Tribolium castaneum: one gene and its partners. The main gene of each other region encodes a partner of the protein of the gene in region 7 in a complex. Links are inferred from orthologs where the notes say so. Each region holds a gene or a part of one and is shown on either strand. Other genes may lie near its edges. The genes, in order: Mgtor, Nup107, Nup214, Nup54, Nup75, PCID2 and Nup153.

Evidence for each region.
Region 1: Nup153 (region 7) and Mgtor share a complex: the UniProt entries of both Drosophila melanogaster proteins name them as parts of the nuclear pore complex. The link is inferred for Tribolium castaneum from reciprocal best matches to the Drosophila melanogaster genes Nup153 and Mgtor.
Region 2: Nup153 (region 7) and Nup107 share a complex: the UniProt entries of both Drosophila melanogaster proteins name them as parts of the nuclear pore complex. The link is inferred for Tribolium castaneum from reciprocal best matches to the Drosophila melanogaster genes Nup153 and Nup107.
Region 3: Nup153 (region 7) and Nup214 share a complex: the UniProt entries of both Drosophila melanogaster proteins name them as parts of the nuclear pore complex. The link is inferred for Tribolium castaneum from reciprocal best matches to the Drosophila melanogaster genes Nup153 and Nup214.
Region 4: Nup153 (region 7) and Nup54 share a complex: the UniProt entries of both Drosophila melanogaster proteins name them as parts of the nuclear pore complex. The link is inferred for Tribolium castaneum from reciprocal best matches to the Drosophila melanogaster genes Nup153 and Nup54.
Region 5: Nup153 (region 7) and Nup75 share a complex: the UniProt entries of both Drosophila melanogaster proteins name them as parts of the nuclear pore complex. The link is inferred for Tribolium castaneum from reciprocal best matches to the Drosophila melanogaster genes Nup153 and Nup75.
Region 6: Nup153 (region 7) and PCID2 share a complex: the UniProt entries of both Drosophila melanogaster proteins name them as parts of the nuclear pore complex. The link is inferred for Tribolium castaneum from reciprocal best matches to the Drosophila melanogaster genes Nup153 and PCID2.

What each region holds. Positions count from the first base shown.
Region 1 is NC_087394.1:8,236,026-8,239,525, reverse strand, and holds part of Mgtor (nucleoprotein TPR), read right to left. Parts: intron 2,364-3,500; coding exon 2,019-2,363; intron 1,960-2,018; coding exon 1,858-1,959; intron 1-1,857. UniProt on the Drosophila melanogaster protein: Component of the nuclear pore complex (NPC), a complex required for the trafficking across the nuclear envelope. Functions as a scaffolding element in the nuclear phase of the NPC.
Region 2 is NC_087395.1:26,509,844-26,514,101, reverse strand, and holds the start of Nup107 (nuclear pore complex protein Nup107), read right to left. Parts: upstream 2,801-4,258; 5' UTR 2,711-2,800; coding exon 1,847-2,710; intron 1,797-1,846; coding exon 1,635-1,796; intron 1,395-1,634; coding exon 934-1,394; intron 658-933; coding exon 1-657. Other genes in the region: sodium-coupled monocarboxylate transporter 1, read right to left, coding at 4,117-4,258. UniProt on the Drosophila melanogaster protein: Plays a role in nuclear pore complex (NPC) assembly and maintenance. Required for nuclear import of Mad. Mediates the association between the nuclear pore complex and a subset of active chromatin regions adjacent to lamin-associated domains.
Region 3 is NC_087398.1:6,201,336-6,204,955, forward strand, and holds the end of Nup214 (nuclear pore complex protein Nup214), read right to left. Parts: coding exon 639-3,620; intron 591-638; coding exon 563-590; 3' UTR 501-562; downstream 1-500. Other genes in the region: ribosome biogenesis protein WDR12 homolog, read left to right, coding at 1-487. UniProt on the Drosophila melanogaster protein: Part of the nuclear pore complex. Serves as a docking site in the receptor-mediated import of substrates across the nuclear pore complex including emb, RanGAP and phosphorylated Mad. Protects mbo/Nup88 from proteasomal degradation at the nuclear pore.
Region 4 is NC_087397.1:2,066,925-2,070,976, forward strand, and holds the start of Nup54 (probable nucleoporin Nup54), read right to left. Parts: upstream 2,801-4,052; 5' UTR 2,701-2,800; coding exon 2,643-2,700; intron 2,187-2,642; exon of another isoform or gene 1,511-2,186; intron 1,461-1,510; exon of another isoform or gene 717-1,460; coding exon 1-716. Other genes in the region: sra (protein sarah), read left to right, coding at 3,197-3,389, 3,435-3,907. UniProt on the Drosophila melanogaster protein: Component of the nuclear pore complex (NPC), a complex required for the trafficking across the nuclear envelope. Essential for the nuclear import of nuclear localization signal (NLS)-containing proteins in an importin alpha/importin beta-dependent manner.
Region 5 is NC_087399.1:876,580-880,879, forward strand, and holds Nup75 (nuclear pore complex protein Nup85), read left to right. Parts: upstream 1-1,500; 5' UTR 1,501-1,609; coding exon 1,610-1,633; exon of another isoform or gene 1,634-1,678; coding exon 1,679-2,120; exon of another isoform or gene 2,121-2,340; coding exon 2,341-2,594; exon of another isoform or gene 2,595-2,640; coding exon 2,641-2,763; exon of another isoform or gene 2,764-2,817; coding exon 2,818-3,036; exon of another isoform or gene 3,037-3,169; coding exon 3,170-3,285; exon of another isoform or gene 3,286-3,335; coding exon 3,336-3,872; exon of another isoform or gene 3,873-3,925; coding exon 3,926-4,130; 3' UTR 4,131-4,180; downstream 4,181-4,300. Other genes in the region: mRpS23 (small ribosomal subunit protein mS23), read left to right, coding at 1-20; uncharacterized protein LOC660898, read left to right, coding at 51-415, 636-879, 929-1,365, 1,411-1,498; oxidized purine nucleoside triphosphate hydrolase, read right to left, coding at 4,186-4,300. UniProt on the Drosophila melanogaster protein: Component of the nuclear pore complex (NPC) that seems to be required for NPC assembly and maintenance. Required for nuclear import of phosphorylated Mad via importin msk.
Region 6 is NC_087397.1:8,459,988-8,463,190, forward strand, and holds PCID2 (PCI domain-containing protein 2), read right to left. Parts: upstream 2,020-3,203; 5' UTR 1,865-2,019; intron 1,799-1,864; 5' UTR 1,787-1,798; coding exon 590-1,786; 3' UTR 501-589; downstream 1-500. UniProt on the Drosophila melanogaster protein: Required for the export of nuclear mRNAs and involved in mRNA trafficking in the cytoplasm.
Region 7 is NC_087394.1:31,197,843-31,202,029, forward strand, and holds the start of Nup153 (nuclear pore complex protein Nup153), read right to left. Parts: upstream 2,801-4,187; 5' UTR 2,687-2,800; coding exon 2,618-2,686; intron 2,388-2,617; coding exon 1,838-2,387; intron 229-1,837; coding exon 1-228. UniProt on the Drosophila melanogaster protein: Component of the nuclear pore complex (NPC), a complex required for the trafficking across the nuclear envelope. Functions as a scaffolding element in the nuclear phase of the NPC.

The DNA of each region.
Region 1 (3,500 bases), about 23 Mb from region 7:
TCGTTGCATAAAACACTACATATTTTATAGTTGCTTTGCTCTTTGTGTCAAGTTATTTCGCTTTTTTAATGTCAAATCGTCTCAAGAACACTTTGTCCAAACACAAGTACATGTGGATTTTAATAGTGATACTTACTAAACGGTCATTACATTATGTGAGGTGTTTGTGTGAAGTTCAAGACAAAATTTTGAACAGAAAGAAGAATCAATCAATTTTTGTTTTGCGTAAAAATTTTCAAATAACTGGTAGGTTTTAGGTTATTTAGAGAATTCTATTTCGAAAAGTCTATGGATAATGCCTTTTAATATTATCACTAATTTAAAGATTTTTACTTTGACAAAGATTATTACTTTTGTGTTATTAATTGTAATAAAAACACCGGAGATGTCATCTTGTGCAAGGGTCCCAAAAATATATTATCTTGATCTGCTGAGATAACTTTAAATGTGAAACTTACTTTTTGGTCTGCTAATAAAAAAAACTATTTTAGAAATATTTTTTTAAAACAAAAAGTTAAATATGAATCTTGTTTCTTGATTTTTTTTATTATTATCTAACTGTACACTCACCAAAATTAAGGTCAATATTAAAATTGTTACGTTATCTGATTTTTACGTGATTCGAAAACTTAAAAAACTGTTAATGAGAATAAAAATCACGTAAAGAAACAAAATTTACGACAAATAAATCGTATTTTTTATTGAAAGTACAGTGTGTGTTAGAATGATTTTCATCTAGTCGGTTATAAATTTCTCAAATAAAATCGGAAATGCACATTGTATAATAAAGATTGATTAACAAGTGTATAATGCACAAACAATTTAGTTACTAAAAAAATATGCATAACAAACCACCATGACGATTAACAAAATTTTTTTTACAATCAACTGTAATAAAAAAACGTTAATTTTTTTTAATAAATTTTAACATGTAGACCAAACTATACCATCGTCAAGAAAGACACAAAGAATATTTCTGGTCAAATTTCATACAGTAAGACTTCAATAATCCGAACAACCAGTAATTTCTTAAAACATAAATCAGATTCTTCACTTTCTTAATCTTAACTTTACCTCCTACACAAAGAAGCTTTCATGTTTCGAGGAAGATAACATTCAGTATACATTTTCAAAAGCCAGTCATGAGCCAGCCACAGTTTTAACCTATTTATATGGTTTCTTCCAAAGAAAACCATAAATATCCCTTTTTTTCATCGTAAACGGTAAAATGGCATTTTATCTACTGATTACTTCATGCTGAAACGAAATTTTATCGTCTACAGAAATATGGTTGAATTGTTGATTTTTTTTACGTTTCCAATTGTCAATTAAAATAACTCAGTAATTATTCAAGCGAAATAATGGTGGATGGAAAAAATATATTGCGTAAGATGAGAATATTCACCGTTATCTTCTCAAGCATTCTGATTTCGAAGTTAAAAACTACTATCGGGTAGAATTTTGCAAAAAAAAGCTAAACCACGAAGCTGAATATTTTCAATTTTAGATTTTATACAAATGTGAACCATTTTTTGTGCGTTTTATTGAAATAAACATAAAAAAGAAATTGGAAATATTTTAGAGAAAACTTATTTTTAATATAAACAAAAGACGATTACAATGAAAACTAACTAATTTTCAATTCACTTGAACTGAAATAAAATTTAAAAAAAAAATACGAGAAATTCATGTTTATGACATTTAAAATTTTCAAATAATTTTATCATAAAATTCGTTTTAGTTTACCGTTGTACAAAGCGGTTAAATATAGTATATTTATTCTAAGAACATCACCTTATACCAACTTTTCTTAAATAAAAACTCAGGAAATGTAACTTATGCCTTACAGTTACATACCATCTGACTGTGTTGTTTGACTGGATCCTTGTTCCTCACTCCCAGGTACTGCTTCTTGAGGTGAAGCTTGCAGAGGCGTACTAGGAACACTTCTGCCCGTACCTAAAACAAAAGAAACACCCTGTTAAAAAGAAAGCATCAACAAGTGCCCCAATCCATACTATTCTCATCCATATTTGTGACTTCTAATGTCTGTTCAGGAACGATCTCACTAGAACCGGCAGTGTTTGGAGGAACAGACTCGTTAAAAGTAAACCTCCCACTCGTGGGCACATGAGGAGAACTAACGGCCTCACCAAAACCGTCAGATCTTCTCGGCACAAATAAAGTAGGCGTTGATGGAACAATACCATCATCGCCGCCCTCTTCCAGCCCGTGGGACAACAACAGATGCGACTGTTGCTGTCTGGATAGGAGAGGGGCTATAGGTCTAGTTCGCGAGAAGGAAGGCATTGTCATGGAGACTGACGTCGAGGCTTGGGATAAGGTTACACCACCGGGGCCCCCTTGAAGCAAATAAAAATAATAATAAAAAAACGGGAAATAAAACAGCCAACCACCAAGGCCTAACTGCACCGGTATGGCTTAAGGGTGGCAAATTAACCGCACCGTAAATAAGTGCAGCTTAAAATTGTCTAAAGCTTACGATAGTTTAAACTGAACCGTACCTTGGGTGCCGCTTAAGTAGCGTTTACGCTCATTCTGGATTTGTATATTGAAAAAATTACTTAGGTTGCTTCAAAAAAAATTTTTAACAAAATAAAATTCAATACACCTTCGGTATAAAAATATTTCTCGTTCTTACGGTTGCTTAAAAATTGAGAATACTTTGATAGTAATTGTTGTAACAGAATTTTTTTACAATATTATTCCCAAAGATAGGGACCGATGCAAAAGGAGAATGGATTGGGTGATAAAGATGAGATAAACAGACAGAAAATGGTAAAATTTCTGAAATAATGAAGTTATTGATCTTCGAAATAATAATTATCTTGCCAAATTATGAAACATTTTAATAGTCTTTAATTTTTTTCAGCCATTTCATTTTAACGGACACTGCACAAATTTTTAGATTTTTGAAGTTTTTTCTTCAGGACAAGATAAAATTACAAATGAACAATCAAAAAACAAAATTTTTAGATTTTATTTTCAGTTTCTATGAACAGTATCAGTAGAAATGAATTTTTCTTTTCCCTCTAGGAATTTACAAAGTAACAGTCAAACTGTTTATATTTACAATTAGAACCACATTTGTAAAATTTGAAATACGAGCAGAAAAAAGTACAACTTGATAACGGACAGGACAAAAAAAGATTCACATTTTTATTGTTGAACAATCGTTATAAAATCATGCTAATAATAATACTGCCAACAATTATTTTTAAAGTATAAGGTGGAATTTGTGTAAAAACAACTCTAAAAAATTTATTCAGACAGGTTTTAATTATTAAAGACTTTAAGAATATTAAAACTACACAGTGGAAACTAAAATTTCTAGACCTTGTTTAACAACATAAGAAATAAAAACATTTATTTGTTTGCAATAACGGACCGCACAGCAAAAGTAACGAAGAAAAAACAATAATATTATTTACCGATTTCCATTTTCTAAATTACCAGAAACTAATAAAACACTTCAAAAC
Region 2 (4,258 bases), on a different chromosome or scaffold from region 7:
TGCGATGTCGTCAATTTCCACCGTTCCGCTTCGGCATTAAACTGCGAGACTTTATGATTATGAGCAACTTTTTCAGTAAATTGTGCATTTTCGGGCAGTTCAGGTGGTGGCATCGGCTTATTCCTATACTGTCTAAACCACTCGTTAAACGCCTCATGTGCATCCAAATACGCTTTATAACTCAAATAATTCTTAACAATCTGATGAATCTGCTCTTCGCTGCGTATCTTCTCTATAGAATCGTAAGGAATTTTATTGATTGCCAATTGGGCTGCTTCTAATTTGCCCAAAATCAGAAATTTGAAAATAATAGAATTGGTTTGAGCCAATGCTTCGGCTCGTTGCTCCTCGTAAAACATCAGCCAATCAATAGCGGAGATTTTGAGTTCGTCGATTTCGGTGATTTTACCTTGGAGATTACCGGGAAGTTCGGATTCAGACGGTCGGCTTGTTATAATTTCGACGATTTGTTGCGTTATAGCAAATACGTCCAAACTGAAATCTTCAGCGTAAGTAAGGGCGTTTTTGCGTTGCTCAGTCGAAAGCAGTTTTTCGCAGTGTTTGGCGTAAAGTTGGATTTGTTTGGATTTTCCCAGCTTGCTCACGTAGAAGGCCACAAGCTGGGTTTCGTTCATTTCGCTCAAACGCTCGATATATCTAATTAAACAAATGATATTAAAACACAAGCAACGCAGCGGTGAGTAGCAAACACTTTATGTTTTTTTATAGAAGCTCGAAGTCAAATAAAACAAAAAATAATACCGTAGCTATAAAAAAGTGGTAAAAATATTAAAAGCAATAATTTAGTTCTGACGAGATTATGGTCAACATTAAGAACATAAAATACACTAGACACAAATTTTTTTATAGTCACCATACCGGGAGACTAAAGCGCCCGGCCTTAAGTCGAGTTATACAACCAAGAAAACTTACGTTTCGACGATTTTTTCACACGTTTTTCTATGAGTGGAGTCTCCGACGCTTTCAAAAAACAAAACTAAGTGAGCATAAAATCGAAGAGATTGTGTCGTAACACTTAGATCTTCACTCCACTGATCTAGGAGGCGTATCAGTGTGGGAATTTCGTCTAAAATGACAAGTTTCTGAATTACATGATCAATTTCATGCGCTTCTTTTGCAATGTCAATATTTTTCGAGGCTTCCAAAATTGTAAAAATTTCACTTAATGATTTCTTTTGTTCCCAATATTCTTCAGGTAGTGGTATGTAGTTTTTAATGATTGAGTCGCGAATTTCCGATTCAACACGAATATCGACCATGGTTCGCATGTAGGCCCACAGGTGGTCCTCCCATGTGGTACAAACGGGCAAAATGCCCTCCAAGAAACCACAAAGACTACCAATGGCGGCTTTTTCATAAATGTTCAAGTTTGACTGAAATTTTTTAGTAGTTTTTTCAAATTTATAAAACAGCCTCCTTGATAGATACGAAACTTCGTCTTCAGTCCTAAATTTGGTTAATTATTTTCCAGAAATTTTAAATAAATAAACATAAAATAAATACATGTTTTACAACTGCCAAAGTGACATCGGTTTATCTAGTAACAATGGTATCAAAAAAAAAGATAGCGAAGTTCCCGAACTGTCAAAGAGGCTGTGGAACGAAAAACTTACCCTATGACAATAATCTAATGCGCAAGATTTCCACAAATCCCGCCTTTGGTTCCCTTCTACGTCTTTATACTCTTCAAGACTTGTTTCCAGGTTGGGATTATGAAAAAGCTTCCAGCCTTCTAACATCGCAGCGCGCCATGGATAACCACTGTTGTAACATAACTGAAATTTAATTATTGAATAAATAATAAAAGGCTGAAAACAGCACAAACTTCCTGGGCGCCCTCAAGGTTGCCGCACCTAATTTCCATAAAAATTCTCTGACATAGTTTTTTGTCATTGTCGTAATCCAAGTGGTGCAGCGATAAGCGCTGAAACTGTGGCGCATCTGGATGTATGTTCTTGATAATATCCACATTACTCCCAATTGCAATAGCATCAGGTGCTAGCAATTGATGCAAAGTGTGTTCCCATCCATACGTCCAGTCTGAGTGCATTAAAATGGGGTCCCCCTTCTCCAGAGCGTTCCTCTCGAGCCAATCGATCACCAACTGGCTTTCCCTAACCAAATTCTCTCGTTTGAACAGTTCGCACACACAGTTCTTTTCACTGCTCCCGAAATCCTCCTCAAACCCTTCCTTACTGTGGTTCTGGGCCTGGATCCGATCCTGGTACAGGACATACAGCAGTCTCCAATTATTCCGCTCATTTTCGAGCCATTTCTCTTCGGCTAATTCACTAGTGGCCACTTTGGCTTTCAGTGACTTAACCACCGCCAAAGCGTCACTACAACACCTCGCCAAGTCTTCGGCCACGTCCAGGATATCAAGGCCTCCGGTGGACCCCTGCAGGATATCCGCAAACTCTGTATATAAATTATTAACAGTGTTTTTCCATGGAGTTCCTGCTTGGATCACCGACCCGGTGACCGTTTTGTCATCATCGACAAATAAAGACAAGGTGTTTTGATAAACACTTCCATATTCCAGGCCGGTTAAGTCTTCGGGGTTTATTGTAAAGCTGAGGTTAGGTTTTTCACGCTTTGGAGTTGCGGTCGAGACCTTAAATAGCCCTTTTGTGGGGGTCTGGAGAGCGTCTTCGAGAAGACGCACCGACCGTTCCAAATCATTATCCATTTTTAATAAAAAACACACACAAAAAGCCGTTGCATAACCTCAAAAAACAAGTCTAGCGTTGCCTCAGAGCGTTGCAAAGTCCCTAGATTCAGGTTGGTAACAGTTTTTCTTTTCCTCGATCGTCATTTGTTTCAAATTATCGCGTCTGTTTGTGTTTATCGTGTTTTTTGTTCAAATTGAAGGAAAATTGGTGAAAAAAGTGTTGAATTACGTAACTTAATTAAGTTCAATTTATAAATTGTGGTAGGAAACACCGGTTTTTTTCAAAAATTTGTAAATCATGTGTGAATACTGAATTTGGAAAAATGATGTTACTTAGTGTTAAGTGTAATTTTTACATAATTTGGTGATTCCAGTGACAAAGTAAGGTAAGGTGCATGTTTTTTTAACAAAATTTAACATTATAGCACATTATTGGTACTATTTTCGGAAATTCAGTGAATTTGGTTGGCAACACTTTTTCCATTATCGCGTCTCTCGTGTGTGCCCGGATCTTTTTTGTCTACATTTATGAAAAATTTGTGAAAAAGTTACCTTAATTACGTTTTTTTTATAAATTGTGGAAAAAAAACACCAGTTTTTCCCCGGATATTCCTAAATTCAGTTACTGTGACAATCAGGATTTGGAAGAATGAAGTGTTAAGTGTTAGTTTAGAAGTTCAGTGTTAATTTGGAAGTTTCAAGCACAAAGTAAGGTAACTTGCATGTTTTTCAACAAAATATTAGATTATTGCACATTATTGTGGGCATTATTTTTGGAAATTGGTGAAAAAGCAAGTTTTCTTGAAAACTTGTAAAAAACATCACTTTCCAAATATTTGTCAATTCATTTGTGGTTAGGAAAAGTACATTTTAAGCACAAAGTGAGGTAAATTGTACGCTTTTCAACAAAAATTAGATTACTGCACATTAGTGGTATGTATTTGTATTTTCGGAAATTCATTGACTTAAGATTCTGGAAATATTGGGCGACTTTTCAGTACTTGGAGCGTTTTTTTTTGTCAATAACTTCGGTTGTAGGCATTTAAAGGAGGCAAAAATCCACAAAATTTTTTTTATTTATATTATATTTTCGTTGGTAGCTTAAACTCTTTGAACAAACACTACGCTTATTATTAATTAAATATTATTGTACTAAAATGTTGTAATAAATACTCGTTGTTAGCACTAGTCTAAGCTTACAAAAGAAAATAAATATTTCAACACGTACGCGTATCAAGTTGTACAATCTTATTCAATAATAACAATGTAATAAGGTATAAAAATAGTTAAGTAGTCTTTGCATAATTCAACAATCGAACACTTGTATCTTATCAGCTAGAGATCACAGATGTTGCCAAATAAAAGGCACTAAAAACACGAGTCCGTGTCCATTTCTCACATCCATCTCTAGGAAGAAAGAAAAATCATAATTTGGTTCTGTACACTTCCATTTGTACGTCTTGAGTGAAAGCGGGATTCGCATTTCCGCTCTTTTTATCCATACTGGTGGCACTTGGCGAATGGTTCATCGATTCATTTCTCCGTGTTTTATGTTTGATGGTTTTC
Region 3 (3,620 bases), on a different chromosome or scaffold from region 7:
AGAAACCATAACTTCGACTTCCTGGATTGACAACCATGTAATTTGCACTGTGTCAATGGACCATACGATTAAATTTTGGGATGCTGAGTTGTGTGGTATCAAGAATGAAATAGTTGGCCAGAAGGCATTTTTGGATTCTTCTTGGTCTTCCCTATCTAACACATTATTAGCATGTTCAGCTGATAGACATATTCGGTTGTACGACCCAAGGTCTTCAGAGGGTTCAGTGGTCAAGACTACTTTCACCTCACATACGCTATGGGTCAGTTCAATTGAATGGTCAAAATACGATGAACACCTTTTTATGTCGGGAGGATACGATTCTGGTGTCAAATTGTGGGATTCCAGAAGCCCTAAAGCCCCACTTTATAATTTAGAGGGACACCAAGGGCAAGTCCTAGCTGTAGATTGGTCCAATAACAAGTATCTGGTCTCTGGAGGGTGCGACAATAGTGTACACATTTTCAGAAATAATTATGTGTTTTAAGTGAAAAATAAAATTAATTTTAAAAAAATTTATTAGTTTCAGCTTACAAAATTTAACGTAAAACATTTTCCTTCATTAACGCCAACTGGAGAATGAGGAGCTCCTACAAAAAAAAATGTACTATGCCATTTATCAGTTTAAAAATTCTTACCCAGAGAACGGCGCACTCTGCGCTGGGGCGTTGGCAGCTTGCTGTGCCAAATTCCCAAACCCTACTGTTGGTTGATTGGCTAAATTACCAAAAGCTGTGTTCTGGGTACTAGCAGCTGCCCCAAACCCGGGGCTTGAGGACCCAAACACCTTTGAAGTATTCCCAAAAGCCGGTGGGCTGCCAAACGCCGGCGCTCCTCCAAAACTAGGCGAACTCCCGAAACTGGGCGATCCCCCGAAAACGGGAGCTGCCCCAAATCCCGGTTTTTGGAAGCTCTGACCTGCCCCAAACCCGGTTTGTCCCACAGTTCCACTCCCACCACTGAAGGGCCCCGCAGGTTGCTGACCGAAACTGCTACCCCCGAAGAAGGACGACTGTTGGCCGAAGGAAGATTGGTTCCCGAAACCGGTACCAAAACTCTGGGACGTGTTACTGAAGAGCGATCCACCACTGGAACCGAAAACTGAGCCACTTGACGACACTGGAGAGGCTCCGAAAACGCTCTTATCGCCCCCGAAGGGGTTCGCAGGTGCACCGAAACCCGAACTTGCAGTCGTTGAAACATTGAGACTTCCGAAACCGAACGTTCCGGAACTGGTATTGGTGCCGAAAGTACCGGACTGAGTAGTGGCAGGGGCGAAGACATTCGACGAACCGAAAATAGAGGGAGTCGTAGATGCAGGTGCCCCAAAAAGTGAGGGGGCAGTGGACGCAGGTGCTCCGAATAAAGATCCACTAGTACCGAAAGTACCTCCGCTTGTAGTCGTTGCCCCAAAAATGCTCCCAGAGCTCGTAGTTGGTGCATTTCCAAAGACGGAACCACCCGTTTGGCCAAAAGCGGGTGCTGAACCCCCGAAAACGTTCGTACTACCTGACGAACCAAAAACAGAACCTTGACCAAAAGCGCTTGTATTTTTGCTCCCATCGAAGGGCTGGCTTTGGCCGAACGTTGAAGAAGTTGTGGTACCACCAAATATCGACGGCTGTGTGCTTCCGAATATTGACGGTTGAGTCGCATTTGGTTTTGCATTAAATAGGGAAGGCTTTTGGGCGGCGTCTCCAAAAAGACCGAACCCTTGAGATTGAGTTGTCGTTGTAGGACTGGCAAAAGTCGACTGAGTGGTACCAACAGGAGTTCCAAAAACTGGGGTAGTGGGAGAGCCGAAAATTGACGATTGTGTCGTAGCTGCAGCCCCAAATGAACTAGTAGACAAAGGGGTAGCACCACCAAAAATCTGAGTGGTAGGTGTGGTAGCGCCAAAAACAGTCGCTGGTGAAGTACTTGACGAAACATTGCCAAAAATTGACGGCTTTGATACATTACTATCGGTACTTGCAACAGTACCAAAGACAGAAGCTGTAGTGGAGGATGATGGCAGGGCTCCGAAGATGGATGGTTTCGAAACGTTTGAATCCGTGGTTGCAACAGCCCCAAAAACACTTGATGCAGTTGTGCTGCTAAATATTGACGGTTTCGAGGCGCTAACTTCGGTACCACCAAAGAGTGGTTTAGTTGAAAGAGCACCACCGAAAAACCCAGTTGTGGGCGGAGCTGAAGATATGGTTGGAGACTGAGTAGTACTACTAACAATAGAGCCGAAAATTGATGAAGTTGTCGCTGGCGAAGAGAAAATTGATGAAGTTGTTGCTGGCGAAGAGAAAATTGATGACGTTGTTGCTGGCGAAGAGAAAATTGTTGAAGTTGTTGCTGGCGAAGCGAAAATTGATGGAGTTGTTGCTGGCGTTGAGAAAATACTAGTTGAAGATGGGACTGTTGTAACAACAGGAGCTGTAACACCGGTAGTTGTAACAGCTGTAGTAACAACAGTGGCCGCACTGGTGGCGATTTTCGGTGTTGTAGTTACGGCAGGAACAGCCGGTGAGGGAAAAATAGATGATTTAAGTGCCCCCAATGAAAACGGTGAGGACTGAGTTGATGGAGTGCCACTGGTAGTACTAACTGAATTTGGAGCTGTTACACCAAAAGTGGGTTGGATTGAGACTGGACTCGAGACAGCTTGCGTTGTTTTAGGACTGGTTGTTACAGAAGTCGTAGGGAAAATTGAACGTTGGGTACTGCTAGCAACGGGGGAAACGGCAGAAACCACCACATTTGGAGTACTTGTTGCAGAAGTAACTACTGGCTTTGTAGAAAACGTAAAGGTTTTCGATGTCGCAGCTTCGGTCACTTTTTGTGTTGCTGCACCGAAAATACTTGAAGTATTAGTAGCGCCACCGAACGAAAACTGGGTGGAGGTTGGTGCTGTGGTGGTAGCAATACCAAATGACGGAGTAGAAGTTTTCGTAAAAATCGTACTTTCCGCGGTAGTACTAACACTCGTGGATAGATTAAAAACAGAAATAGACGTACTGGGTTTGGTAGTCGCTGCACTACTTGTTAAAATGGGCGCCGCACTAGTAGTTTGTAAACTGAACGAAAATGTAGTTTTAGGCAAAGATGTGGCAAAGAGGTTTGTCCCCACCTTTGGGGTACTGCTAGTAACTGGTTGGGAAGACAAATTAACAAACGATTTAGGTGCTTGCATGGTTGCAGTACTAGTCACTGCCACAAAACTGGGACTTGTTTTAATAATAGACGCTGTCACGGCTGTAGTTGCAGCCATGAAGGTGGGTTTGTAAGTATTTGCTGATGCAGAAACCGAAGTTGAGACAAAAGCCGAATTTGGAGACCCAGCAATCACGTTTTTAGTCAAAGGCGTGAAAGTTTTCTCGGGCAAATTTGTGAAATTTTTAGCCTCGAATTTAAGGGCTAAATTTTGTAAACCTTCGATTGGAGTTGCCGTGGAGTCGAATTTGAGCACAGTGGGTTTGGGAGTTGACTGCGCAAAATCGAGAACCCGAGGTGCAACTGAAGTTTTTTCGGGAAGCCGACTAAGTTGTTTTGGCGGAGTTTGGATTACGGAACTGGCCAATTGAGGCTTCACGAATGAAATATGTGGATATTCTCTTTTTTGGAGAAAA
Region 4 (4,052 bases), on a different chromosome or scaffold from region 7:
AAACCCGCCCCCAAACAAACTCCCTTGTGTCTGTTGACCGAACCCTCCACTAGTCCCAAAACCCCCAAACCCCCCTGTTGTTTGCGTAGCCCCAAACCCCCCAAACAACGACGGCGCACTCGTCGTAGTAGTACCCCCGAATAAACCAAACCCTCCCCCTGTTGTACTCCCCCCAAACAGCCCCCCCGAAGTGGTGGCCGTGCCCCCGAACGAAGTCCCGAATAAACTCGGGGCCGAAGTTGTCGCAGTACCGAACAAACTCGGAGCTGGGGTACTGCCAGCTCCGAATAAACTAGGAGTCGAGGTGGTGACCCCCCCGAAAAGACTTGGGGCTTGTGTGGTGGTACCGCTCCCGAATAAACTGGGGGCCGAACTAGGGGTCGAAAATAACGAGGTTGAAGTGGTGGGAGTTCCGAAAAGGGTTGGTTTGGTTGTGGAAGTACCGAAAAGGCCGCCGCCGGTCGATTGACCGAAGCCGGTACCGAATGTCGGGGCTGAGGTTGATGCTGGGGCTCCGAAAGTCGAACCAAATGCTGGAGTGGAAGTTGCAGGAGTACCGAAAGTACTACCGAAACCTGAAGATTGAGCTGGGGCTCCGAAAGTTGAGCCGAAACCGGTCGACGGCTGCGAAGTGGCTCCGAAGGAAGAGCCGAAACTGCCGAAGCCGGTACTAGCCGTGGTGGTGGTTACCCCAAATGGGGTACCGAATGCGGTGGCTGTGGATAAACATTGGAAAAACATAAAACTATGACTAGGTGTTTACAAAAATTAATAAATAATCTAAGACGATAAGAAGTGTGCGTTTTAATTCAGGAAAAATCGAATAAATTGAATAAATTCAGCGAAATTTGTAGTTTTCCAAAGGAAATGGCTACGAAACCACAATCCTGAAATTATTTATTTTTCTATTTGGGTTGTTTCAACGAAAAGAAAAGAATTTCCATGAAAAAAGTATTTGTTACGGGGAAATGACCAAACGGAAACTACTCCTCGGTAAAAAATGCAAGTCAAACTTGAACTATGCGAATACTTATCGTGCAAAAAATACGCTGTTGTTAAGACTTAAATTTATGCAAAAACGAAATAAACACGAAATAAATGAAATTATTTCAATCCTTCAAGTGTCATTCCAGTCAAATTTTTTAAAAAGAATTTAAACACGTAGATAATTTCAAAACAAGTTTTTTTCGACTGCAGTGCCGCTTTCCCAATTTGTTATCACAAAATGACGGATTTTATTTATCCCAACCACAAGAAATTGCATTAAACAGCATTTTGTGACTCATCCCCGGGTTGTTATTTTACTGCGAATGGAAGGAAAGCAGGAAAACCGTGTTCGCACATATAAACACCAGCGATAAAAATTCAAAGCGTGGAAAGAAACTTTCAGTCGCCGATAAGTTCTTGCAGAGTTAAGTGTTTTTCCTTCGCTAATAAAAAGCACAATGTCGGGCCCTACGGTGAGTTTAATTTTTATTTTTCAAGTTGGATTTAAAAATTCCGATTCTAGCTATTCTCATTTCCTATCAAAGGGGCTACTAAAAGTTTTGGAACGACCCTTCAAGTCACAGACGATCAAAACGTACTCAAAATTGGGCAGAGTTTCACTCCCCCAGCTACTACCCTCATCAGCGAAATAACCAACAGTACGGTTACTGCAGAAACTGCTACCACTCCTGAGATTTCTCAAAATATTACAACAACGATTACCACCGTGATAACCGAAGTGACCGACAGTACGACCGAAACAATCGGTATTTTTGAAAACAACATCACTTCAGCAGTGGCCGAAATAAAAAACAGTACACAAAATACAACTTCAACCCCACTTGACGTATTTTCTTCAACTACGGATGTTTCGAACCAAATATATTACGAAGGATACGACGTTGAGGGAAAAACTTTGTACGTTGTTTTGGGAGTTATAATCGTCAGTCTGCTCTTAATTATCGTCATTCTTATCGTCGTTTATAAGCGATATAAAGCCAGCCGTTCAGGATCGCTTGATTGTGCAACCGATTTGAGCCAAGTTACCATCTCAAACGGAAGAATGAAATCGTATTAATTATATTTGTGATAATCTGTTATATTTTACTATCATTATATTTTTGTTACTCGCTTAGGTAGGTTTATTTATATCCTCAAAATGTTATTGCCGAAATAAATTCTTGGTTTATAAATTATAATCTAGGTTTTTTATTGAACACGTCCAGTTTTTCATGTTTTATCAGTTAAGTAATGAAATTACTTTTGTGTACTGTGCAGCACAGACGTGACAAAAAATTTAAGTTAAACACTAAACAAAACATTTTTTAGCGATTTGTTTCAAACAAAAATTGTTGAATTGTTACTCACACGTTAACAATCATCACAATTAAATTTTATAACCATTTAAAACACCAATTAACATTTTATCTGTAAAAAGTGTGGTGATTTGTATTGTTGAGTCTGAATGGTACAAAACGCTGCCACTTTTTCGATTTTTTCTGGTTAAAAATTAAGAACACAAACATTAGTCAGGCGTTTTGGGCAAAATTAAATCTCATTAATTACGGTTTAAAGGGAAAATAAATAAAACCGTGAATACCAAATAACAAAATAGAAAGAACTTAACCTAACTTTCTTACGGTTCTAAAACTTACGTTTATTTGCCGGGCTTCCAAAAGTCGACTGGTTTGCATTTCCGAACGAAAATGCCATAACTGCATTAAATTTAACGTTAGTATTTATATAAAAATAGTAATTACAATTTTTTATGTATTCACAAATTGAACTTAACGAATTGACAGAACTGTCAAACTTCAAACCTAGGTTATACACCGGCAATTTCACAAAATTTCAGCGTTTTCTGTACAAAAAAATACGAAATCAAAAAGTCGCTCATGTGTTTATGTTAATTATCTGGAAATCTATCCATTTCAGGGTTTTACGTTTTTTTAAGCTCATTCCTTTGTATTTCAATTCGGGCTGGCGAACTTTCGGCTTTCATCCCCTTGTCAAGTGTCATTCATTCCTGACATTTGGCATTTGCAATTGTTGGGTTGTGTTTTTTGCACTTTGATATTGCAATGTTTTTGTGTTAAAATTTAGTAGCGTAAGAGTTAGCCTTGATTAGTTTAGCCGAAAAAGTGCGCATTGTTTTATGGGGTTTAAACCGCGGTAGATCCTGTGTCGGTGAATTTAATCCAATTTTTCAATGGCTGAAAGCAACGGCGAAATGGACGACGATATCATCATTAACGACCAAGACGGCCTTCCCAACGTGCACCCCAACCTGCTGGCGGAGGCCGACATCGACAGCCCCGAGCATGTGACCGACGACGAGTTCGAGGACCTGCCGACGTCCCTCATCGTCACCAACATCCACGACAGTGTCTTCACCTCGCCCGGTAATCCGCCCCCAGCCCTCACCCGATCTGACCGTAAAATTGCAGAGAAAAAGCGCGAAATGGAGAACCTGTTCCGGAACTTCGACCCGGACGTGACATTCCAGTGGCTGCGCAGTTTCCGAAGACTGAGAGTGAACTTCCAGACGCCCGTGGCAGCCGCCAGCGCCCGCATTCAGCTCCACCAATACAAAATCAACGACTCAGTGATTACGTGTTACTTTGCTCAACCCGTCACCCCCGTCAAAAACCCCAGCCTGCAGCCGCCAGCCCCCTTCAAGCAGTTCCTAATCTCGCCGCCGGCGTCGCCCCCCCTCGACTGGGAGCCCCGGCCGGAAGGTGAGCCCATTATCAATCATGACCTTCTTGCAGCTTTGGCCACCCTCACGCCGGGGGCGTCGCACGAGGTGCACCCCCCCTCCCCCGGCCAGCCCAGCATCGTGGTGCACACGGCCCTGGGGGCGGACGGCGTGGGGGCCAAAGGCAGGATGCCACAGACGTCGTGTCCGGAACGGAGTTAATGATTTGTACAGGTCTTCAAGGTTATTTTAAGTGTGAGCTTCAGAGCCTCTCAATATGTCAATTTCTCTCTATGTAGAATCTGTCACTCATTTATTATGGAATTACGTGATTCATTTGTTGGTTGTAACTGTATCATTAATTTAA
Region 5 (4,300 bases), on a different chromosome or scaffold from region 7:
TTGATATATTTAAATCGTAGTATTTTTTTGTTAAAATCTAGTCTTAATAAATGTTTTTTGTGACACTTTGTTTTATTTTACGTCAAATTAAAATGGGTAAAAAATTGAGTCGTCCACGAGGTAGCGAACAAAGCACTTATTCCCATATTTTTTATACCGGGAGTATCGAAACTATTCCACCATCAATCACCTATCCTTCGATATGTACTTCCCCCTCGTTTCATTTGTCTGAAAAGCCTTCGGTGTCGAAGTGTGACAGTGAATTGATTCATTACGGCGAACTGCAGAGTATGTACATCAAGTCTCAGACTTTCACAGCTGATCATTTGGCCCCCTTGACCATCAGAACCTCACAGTTAGTGCTGTCGCTTCTGAAGAGGCATTTGGGGCAAATTGTTAGCGACATCCACGCAGGGTACTGTTTTATTTAATTTAATTTTTTTGCCTATTCAAAAAATTCATAACTCAAAAACTAAAATTCGTAGAACAAAACGGTTTATTCCAGTGAATTCAGCGACTCATTTTACGTATCATATGTTTTTTTTACAACACTAGCTTACTCCAGAACGTATTTAAACACTTATTTGAATTTGAAAAATGGTGGATGCGCCGGGTTATTTTCTATTTTTTGGCAGGACATTGAAAATGCCTGATAAAGTGGTAGAAAAGTTTGGGGCTGCAAGTGCCCGGAACCCGAATCAGCAAACAGACACATATACTATCCAAAGACGAATGATCACTCATTTCGTCTCGTTACTTCACGTTCATGAAATGGTTTTAACTTATCTCAAACAGAGACGCATCGAACAAGCGCTCGATTTAATCAAACAAATTGCAGTTAGCCACGCACTTAAGGGAATCACAGTGACTGAATTTCGGGTAAGTCCCGATAATTCTCTAACTTGTTTTGGCAAAATACGACTTGCAGTTAGTGGACTGGTTTATTGTCAATTATTTGATAAAAAATAAAGTAAGCACTGACGAGAACATAAACCACTTGATGCTTTACTTAAGCACCCTTTCAAATTACATTGTGCGATATTTCGAAAGTCAAAGTGTTCGCCATACGATGCTCCGGGACATGACTAGTGTGAAAGTAAACGATCGGAGCAACAAAGCAAGGGAAAACTACCGTTTAATGAAACAGTGGACCTCCAGAATTGAACATTCCAGAGGCCAAATTAAGGATCTAATTGACAAGCTCCTCGCAGATCAAGCCCGCATGCAGGAAGCCAGAGAGGCAGAAATTAGGAGCATTGACACTCAAACGCTCAAAGAAAAAGACTTCATTATGCGATTTTTCGTACGCAAGAAACCGACAGAATCGCGCTCAACGTCACACTCGCACCAGGAGAAGGCCTCAACGTGAGTATCACCCCAATATAACAAATTCAAAATACCCGCCCACAGGATTGACGGCGAAGTTAAATCCCTACCGTTACCGTTCTCGCTACCAACCCAAAACGAAAGTAACCCTAGTAACCGAACAGATTTCTAAATTACCGACCCGGCTAACCGCTCTCCTCAAACAAAATTCGAAAAAAATACGGTTTTTTTGAATGAAAAGGCGCAAAATTTCGTGTTATTTAACGCTTCCCGACCCGTATTAATGGACAATACCGCCAAAACTTTCGTAAGCAGCGATCAATTTTTGAGGTTAGGTCATAATAACTTGTAGGTTATTCCAAATGAGTTATGCCGACGTGCTGGAGTGGCGGCTTCGTGGCTTTCCGTCAACGAATTCGGTGTTTTCGGCCACCAGAAAACACCAAAAGTTGATAAACCGAGTCACTTTGCCCCCTCGGACGCCTCTGTGTTTCAGCTGCGCCCCGACATTATTCTCTTCAAACCAATTTTACGCAAATTGGTAAATGAGGCCAACGGGACGTTTCTAACCCTTCAAGCCCTTGTAGCCACTGAGGGCGACCACAAGGCCGAATTATTGAAACTTAGCCGGCAGTACAGGTCCATAATAAGGGCCTGTTTGGAGAATTTGCAAGACGAGGTGATGCGAGCCGATGGCGATTATCGCGAAGAATTGCAAAATTACATTACGATTTTTTACTCAGTTGAGTGTATTTGGCACTTGTGTGAAATCTTATTTGTTGATGCGGTCCCAGGTGGGTTAGTGACACGGATATCTAAAAGCTAGGATGCGAAACGACGTACAAATAAAACGTCCTGAACTCGGTAGTTTTATCGTTAACTATATTTAAAAAAAATTCCGGACTTTTTTAGGTTCAGAAAATCCGGTAATTTCGTACATCGTTTCCTCCTAAGTTATAGACCTCTGTAGTGACACAAAATTTGGGGATTTTTGCCAAACAGTTGGGGTTTTAGGCAACATTGTTTTGCCCCACTTACTGGACTGGATTCGGTTTCATTTTCCGAAATATGACCGAAATGCGGCAAGTATGTTGGCTGGGGATTTGGGTGGTTTGGAGTCACACCCTGACTATTGGGAAACTGTCATTGGGTCACTATTACAAGGGCGGGTCAAGGTCGTTAGGGCCCTACTTAAATTACACTCAGAAGCTGAGTCACAACCTTTCAGAATTGTGGATCAGTGTCTGAGAGCAATGCCGGTTTATAACGTAAGTAGGCTGGGAGAAATTGACAGGTGTTCATGGCCGACTTTAGATGTTTAGTGGGACTTCAATCGCTGAATTTAATCTACAATGGAATCATTGGGTCGTGGATGTTCAATCGAAAATTGATGCGAAAATGTTTATTTCTTGTTATAATCTCAATTTGATTATGAAGGTTTTGTTTTAAGTGTGTTTGAGTTGGTAGTTTTCTTTATAAGATTTTTTGTAGCTTACGGTTGGTAACGAAATTGCATGGGGGGAAATACAGCAGTATTGCGAGACGTGGTATGAAATGTTAGCCGCGTGGTTATTTTTTACCCAACCTACTGTTAAATCGTTTGAGTTGGGACAGTTTGCCAAACAGTGTATCACGAAAATGTCCATAGGGAATAGAATTAAGCATTTGGATAGGATGTTGTTGGCAGCAATGGAGTTTGATATTTTACAGGTAATATGGCGCCACCTCTGTTAAGTTATTAAATAAAACTGAGACTTTTGAATAATCCTGTATTTTTCGGCTATACTTTTAGTTTTACACTTTTTTGCAAATGTACACATAAATTCTAACATTTCTTTGCCAGGTGATTAAAGAAATCCAAAATATGACAGACAGTGGCTGGTTTGTGAGCCACTTAACCGACCTACTTTACCATTCAGGCCGTCTAAGCGACACAACTATCGAAACTATTGAAAATTTGTGAGTCCCCGATTTTTTTTAAACCGTTTATTTTACAATTATTATTTCAGCCACCCTGATAAATTGCGCGAGTCATTTTTAATCGATTATGGCTCGCTTTTAATGGGCCATAAGTCACTATGGCAGGTCGGTTTAAGCTACTTGGACCACTGTCCCAGCGATGGCCCTGAAGTCACAAAATTACTACTTGCAAGACTGCCTCTAAATTCCGAAATGCGGGCTGAGAAAATTGTGAGAGAGGCTCTGAACCGGAATTTAACCGAAACGGCACAAAGTATTTGTAAAGTGCAAGGAATGGCTTGTAAAAACCGGGGGCGTCTGGGACACGCCCTCGCCTGGGCCCTCAAATCACAAGACGGCACTTTTGTGTCGTTTTTATCGAACAAATTTCTGCGAGAGTATGCCGAAAGTGGCGATTTGAACAGTATTGATCTTTTGGATAATCTCGGATCGTGTATTTTGGCAAGCGATAGGTTGATGTTTTTAGGCAAATATTACGAATTCCAGAAGTTATATCAAGCGAACGAGTACAAAGAAGCCGCCAATTTGCTCGTTTCGTTACTTGAGTCGAAAATAATACCAAACTTGTAAGGGGAAAACACTTAAAATTGCGGTTTTTTATCTAAAGATTATCTTGTAGTTTCTGGAGTATTCTATTAACTGACGCAATACCGCTACTTGAGTGCGAAAAAATGGTTTTTTCCTCAACTGATACCTACATCATTATGCAGTGTTTGGAAGAGCAGGAAAAAACCAAAGACTTGAAAGACAAACTTCCGATCTTGAGACTGTCAGCGACCCGGAATTTAGCACGAGCTTTGGTACACGAAGCCCAATTAAAATGATGATTTTTTTAACAATTTTTTATTAAATAAATACTTTACGTAAACAATAATACTTTTAATTGGCCACTTTAAGTGCACTCGCCAAGTCCTCAAATTCCTCAATTTTCGTATCAGTGATTGTGTCAGGGTCACTGTAAGTCACTCTGGCCGCAAAAAATTTCTCTTTTAAC
Region 6 (3,203 bases), on a different chromosome or scaffold from region 7:
TAATAAAAAACTAAATAGTTTTTGACTATGATAAAATTTCCATATAAAATGTATGAGTTTAATTTTCGGGTAACAAAGTTACCTATGGGAAAATAAATCCTTTTGTGCAAAATTTCGCAATATGTAATATAATATTTACAGTACATTTAAAGGATGTATTCGGTATTAACTTCGTATCTATTATGTAAAGCTTAAACGAATATTTTTTACCTATATGGGCATAATCATTAGGTGATTTAATATGCATTATTGATTTTCAAAACGATTCGTATCGAGATTAAATCTGAGCAATTTAAAAAAAAACAACTGTAGTTGTGACCTCTTCGAATAACAAAAGCAATTTTTAATAAAATAAAAATTCCATAAACATTTTTAATGCGGTTTTTATTATGCATACAACATTTAGCTTTTTTCTTATGACAGCAGGGTCGCTTAGTCACTTCGCAGTATAGAGATTTATAGACGTTACGTTTATGCTTTAATAAAACACAAAAAACGGGTAGTTTTAACAGTTTATTTCATATGCAATTACAAAATAGTTACAATGCAGGTAGAGAACGACGAATTATACAAACTTATAAAAACTTAATTATGATAGACTTGTAAGTGGCGGAAATGGATTCTGTTTACTAACAACAACCTTCCTATGTTGATGCGAAATGTATCCTTTAATTTTCCCTTCATAAATAAGATTAGCAACAATACATTCTGTTTCATCCAAATCAACATCAGTCTGTCCTAAATACACTAAAGCAGTCTGCAGTGCTTCAATAGGGATTTGATGCGTATTTAGAATCAAATACACCTTTTTAAACAAATTTCTATATGCTATGATTTTCAGTTTATCAACAATCAGATATATTCCACACTTGATGAAAAAGGTTTCGTGCTTTTCCATAATCTCGTCAAACGCTTTGAGATTACCCTGACATACAGCTTGTACTAAATCCCACAACTGGATGACGTCATACTTCTCCAGAACCTCCTTGCTTGGGATATACCCCAACAACATTTTCACAGGAACTAAGTAAATCAATATAAGCGTTTTGTTCTTCTTACTGAGCTTGTGACAATTTTCAAAAGCATAAGTTAAATACTCATCGGCGACTTTATAATCGCTATCAAACATAGCCTTGCGCCCCACAAAATACCGATATGTGATTTGTTGGCTCAGAGAAAAACTCTCTTTAAACGGTGATGACTCAATCGCTCTGATTAAGGGCTTGCACAAATGTAGCTTATTTATCCGAAAATAAACCTTAAACAATTGATTCACCAAAGCCAACATCCCTATCCTCTTTGTATCCTCCTCTGCTGACCTATTATCAGCAGCACACACCCTGAAACAACCCATCAAGCATTCTGCTGCCTTCTCGAGCATTTCGCCGGGCTTCTCATTAATTCCGCTCCTCTGATTCTCGGCTAATTGCGCCAAAAGACGCAAGTCTAAGCACAAGACATACATAATAGGCAAAGACCAATTCTCCTCCTTTTGCGATTGCAAGATCTTAGTGAAAGTTTGCGTCAAATTGCTCTGAATGTTATAAGCCGATAGATAGTCACTCTGGCTTATGGCAAACAGGCATTTTAGGTGCAAAATCACTAATTCGTCGATAGGGGCGGTCAAAAAACGCTCAACTATTCCCTCAGGACTCTCAATGTGGTAATTGGCATAACCTGCATGTTCGTGGCGAAGAGACAGAAAACTGGCCACTTTTGCACCGTCCTGAGACCGCCAATACCTTTCCACAAGTTGTAGGTAATGAGCAACGGACATAAAAGTCATTTTGCTGAAAAACTAAGGTTAGGGGCGTCAGTTAACCGAAACCGCTTCATTTATAAATGAAATTGAACTGTTACTCACGTGATTTAGGCACAAGTGTTATATTTGTTGCTTCCGTTACGCAAAGAACATTATGTCTTACGAGTTTGACGAAAAAATGTTTGAATAAGCTTGAAAATAAACAAGTCTTTGCAATGGTGATAAAATGGCCGATAGGGAGCGGTGCGATTCATACAAGTAAAATCAATAATAATTTCTGTGACCTAACAAAATTTAAGATATTTGAGCTTAATTCGTGTTATATGTCCCATAGTACTAATAATAGGGATTAAATTAATGCAAATCCTGGAAGTAAAATGCCATAAAAACGAAAACTGTTCGTAGACCAGTTCGCAAGCCGCATGTTTTCTTCCCACACAGAGATGGCGCTCCGAGGAACAGCTTGATGCAACTTGACCGGGAACTTATCCAACTTGATTTTATTAAAAAATTTTTAGGAAATTATAAACACAGTCGTGAAAACGTTTTATTATTCTAGTCAAGGATAAATCATAATTTAAAAATCCATTACACAGGAAAGTAATAACTTCAACAATAATGAATTTAAAGCGCCTAGTAATGGAATTTATGGAAAGAAATTATTTACTTCTTTGCTATTTTAAACTTTAATAATGCTTCACGTGCCAGACCCATAAATCAGTATAATAAGCAATTTAAACGTTAATTGTAGTTTACTTTTAGCTCCTTATGAAACAAAAAAATTAAGTACTGTTTATTAGAAACTAAAGCTACACATTACGAACTTAAAAGTATTTGTTTGTATAGTGCTACTTAAAAAACAAAACCATATTTTACAAAAAAAAACTTATAAGTATAAGTAGGTAGACGACGTTTAAATTACAAACAAGTTATGTTTTAAATGATGACCGTACAAAAGCATATAAAAGGTTTTTATGTTCATCTATAAAATTTAAAAACAAATTTTACAGGGTGTCCCAGCAAAAGTATATTTTTACTGCATGACAAGCTAAATAATTACACAGAATTCCAAATTTGCTTTAAATACTTTTAGTATGCCTTATTATGTACCATAAAAAGTTATTTTTTCTATATCTACATTTTATAATTTTAAAATAAAACAATATAAAAAAGCAATATTCTATATCTTGAATGTCTGTGTGATTAATGATTATGATAGTTTGAGAAATGCAACGTAATTATTAACAACTTAAAAAAGAATCAAAAATAAAGAACTATTTAACAGAATTGACACGTTTACTGAAATATGATTCTGATGTAATTTTTTTAGCTGAATTTAAATCCGAAAGTTTTTTTTTTGATTTGGAATAGCCTTCACTGTAAAAAAGACGTTTATGTAAAAAAATTCAAAAATTAATATAAAGCAAATTTGTGTTCACAT
Region 7 (4,187 bases):
TTTCTTCGCTAATTTTACCTAACCTACGTCCGTATGCAGAGGCGCCGCCATAAATTGTATTGCCGCTATAGAAAGGTGAGCTCAATATTCTCTTGGTAGACAATGTTCTGTCAATAAAGTTCGGCGAGCCGAAAGTCGATGCGTTAAACGATGGCCGTCTTGAACTCAAAGAAGTGTTCATGTTGGGGCTTCTTTCCGAGAATAAAGTACGTCCGCTTGATTCGTTTGCTAAAAAACGAATTGATTGTTTCAATTTTTTAATTAATAAGCCTAAAGAAAACACAAAACCGATAATATTCATAAAAACACATGATTTATAAGGAGTGTGGCACAATTTAAATAACTATTTGAAGTATAATGTCCATACTTTTGCCAACTCTTGAATATTTTTTTATAAAAAGTACTCAAAATTGTATATTTTCAATCCTGAAAATAGCAAAAATAAGCAAAAATACTCCAAGTCTGCATTTGAAGCCGGAATAATACTCATGGATTTTTTCATTGTATTATAATTTCCATTATCAAGCTCGACCGGTTCAAATTTTGGCAAAGATGATTCATCAAGAATTAAATCATAGACTTAGAACATGACTAAGATTTTATTTCCCCTTTTCCGAGTACACAATATGAAAAGCAAATTATGTAAAGACTGGTGTTTCGCTAAACTGTATTTTTTTTAATAACAAAAAATAAAAAAATCACGTTTCCTCTTCCCCATTTTTTTAAAACAATCTTTACTCGACCTACTGTCGGCAACAAACGATTATTTTTTACGTTTTCATTAATTCCAGTGAAAAAATATCAGACTCAGTGAAAAACTGAATAGACGCGATTTGTGACATATTGTCCAGATTTAAACTATTTAAATCTTCTTGTTAAAGCAATTTTATTATAGAACCTGATATTCTAATAAGTGTATAATTTTTTATAACGCTAATTTTTGAAATTCACCCAAGAAGGTAGAAGAAAGAGTTTTTTAGGTTTCTGAATTTAATTATAAAAAGGACAACAAAGTGCTCATAATAGTGAATTAATAAATGGTAAAAATAGATAAAAGTCAAGACAAGCTCAAAAATGACGAGCCGGAATTTCAAGAATTTAAAAAAAAAGGTAAAAATGTAAAACAAAATTTATTAACAATACGAGAACAGTGACTAATTTACTTGTTGCTCGTCACGTAGGTATAATGAAAGTGATGACATTTTTGTGTGTACAGCGATGCTGTACTTTAACCTAGAGGTCAAATATTATAAAAGAAAACAAAACAAGGAAATTACTAGTTCCATTAATAACCATAACAAGTTTATTATATCGGTACGTATTTTAACCTTATTTCATACAATTATCAATATCTCATTAGAAGCCTATAAACAGATCAGATAGTTTATTTTACCTTTATTGCATAAATACAATTTTTACTAGACTTTGACCTCATACCCAAACAACTTATGTTCGTCATAAGAGTCTTGCAGATACTGGCAATGATATAAATGTAAGAGGTCTTTTACAGACTTTAGCTAACAGCAATGAGCGTAAACATTTTTCTTACTTTGGTAACTGGAGACCTGCTTTTTGTATACAAAAGCATGAAAGTTGCTGATAAGAGAAAAACTTTAATTTAATCATTTGTGGTATTATCAGTTTCTTATGGTTTTAAACGGATCGTATTTATGAGTTTTGATAATTTGTAATTTCATATTGTGCATTTTTCTGGCATGAGTCACAATACTAAAAGTATAATAAAGTATTCCTGAGACAATTATGTACCCAACGGTTGCCAAAGTTAAGAAAACACTGCAAAAAAACTAAAAACAAACATTATGTAACGTAAACTTACATGAAGTAAACAAGGACCTAGTTTTAGGAGTGACTTTTTCACATGTTTCCTTGTGAGATATTTCTGCACTTTTGGGTTGATTAAGCAATTTGGGTGCCGAAGAATAGCCACTAGTTGATTCTTCACTGTCAGAGTCATTCTCACCGTTAACAATTTCTTGATTTTCGAACGAATTGGTAGAGACCGTATTTGTGCTAGCAGAACGGTGTCTGTCGAACAATTTGCGGGATTTAACCCCCGACGGCCCCGCCACCGGTTCAGGAAACTTCCCAAACACTTTCGACGAAACATTGTTAACATTATTGGAAGCATTATGCACAGTCACTGGCGATTCAAATATATGTGCACTGTAATTGTTGTGTTCCACTTCAGACGGTAGTTTCACACGTTTGCTTGGTGGCTGGAAAACGTAGGAGGCATCAAAGTCGTCGTCGTCGTCGTCGTCGTCGTCCTCCCGCCTCTTGACCGACTTGGACGCCGAGTCTTTGCCGAACCACTTGGACAAGGGGGTGCTGTTGAAAAGCCCCGACACGAACTTGCCCACGAACGACTGCAAGACAAATTCAAAATAGGACCTGTTAGCTACCTTACACGTCAAGGTTAAATAAATAAATGCGAGAAACTAAGGTTAAAAACGCGTGCTGGTGGCACTGCCAGGTTGCATGGAGGTGCTGGGGCGACTTTTGGGCAGTGTAAAGACACTATTTCGTGAGAAACTTTTATAGCTATATTTAGAGGTGAGAACGCGCGAATATGTGCAAAGAACGCATTTTATCAAACCTTATCCAATCCTGCATCTTTCGAGTTGTCTGGACTGTTTTCGGCACCTTCATTATTATTATTTGCCATAATTACAATTGTTCTTAGTCTATTTTACACAAATAAAGTAATTTTGGAAAATCACACATTTCTATGACAACTTTCACCACACGAGGATCCAATATGGCGGACTCCAAGTGTGAAGTTAGCCGCTTTTTGCGCGCGCTCCCCCTCGAAGAACACGAAGTTGGCGCTTTAGGAACAAAGCTCTCCCGCTGATTTTTCAAAATTTTGAATTCAATCATTAAATTAATTTTGTTAATTTACTTGAAGTTTTTGAACAAAATAACAACAAATATTTAAAATTTTAATAAAAATGTTTATTACCCTTAAAAATACAACCATATTTTTTGCCAAATATCTTTTATAAAAAATTACAAATTTTTAAAAAATCAAAAAAATACATGCAATTTGATTTAATGTGAATAACTTTTACAGTTTTCAAACGTATAAATAGTACCTCAAAAAAATTTAATATTGAAATTTTTTCAAGGCGGCAACTGCCAAAACACAAGTGTTTAGTGCGGTTGCCTATCACAAATATTTATTAATAAATTCATTATCAAATTTTACTGCTATTTTTATACCTGCCGCGATAAAAAACATATTTCTTCCTTTAACATACTATTATTAAGATAATGTTAAATACTGTTTAATACACAAAAAAAAATTAACGTGTCGGCAATATTTAAAATTAACAATTCAATTTTTTTTAAATCTCAAGTAAAATTTTCTTGAAATCGAAAATTCATCAAGCTGGCAGGTTTAGGTACATTTCAATAGTCGTATTTGTGTTGTTTCTCACTATGAAATAAAAAATGCATTTTTTAATTTTGTGGCAAATTTATTGAAGAAAAAAATCAGAAAATAAAAGGTGGCTGCAGTACTTCCTACTGAGAGTTTGATTTACTGTATTCACTATAGTGAGTAGAGTAACAATTAACAACGAAATTGTTTATCTAAACAATCACATCAATAGAAATTCCAAATTATCCTTGCCTTTTTATGTAATGAACTTTCCCAAAAAATCAATGATACGTACGTATTTAAACACAGAAAATAATGTCTGCAATAATTGTAAAAATATTAGACATTCATTCTTGGCAATTCATTCCCTGTATTTCCCGGACATTATTAGTAAATCCATATGAAGCAAGTTCCTTCAATGTCTATAGATTAGTTTATATAACATGAATATTCAGCATTTTACAATATATGTTGCTGATGATTTAAAGTGGATTAGGGATCTTCGTTGACCGAGTTTTTACATGGTCAGTCATATGTGACAGGAGACAGAAATTTACTTCAGCATGAAAACATACCAAAATTAGGTATACCATTTTCGTAACCAATATTTTTTAAACTAATAATAATGTTAATGGTTTTATCAAAAAAATATAACATGAGCGCAAATTTTCAACACAAAAATTCACAAAATCAGTCAATTTATCAGTGTTCATGCTTATTATAAGCCGAGATTAATATTGTTACTCATAAATTTTCCCAAATAATAGAAATATATTGCTCAAGG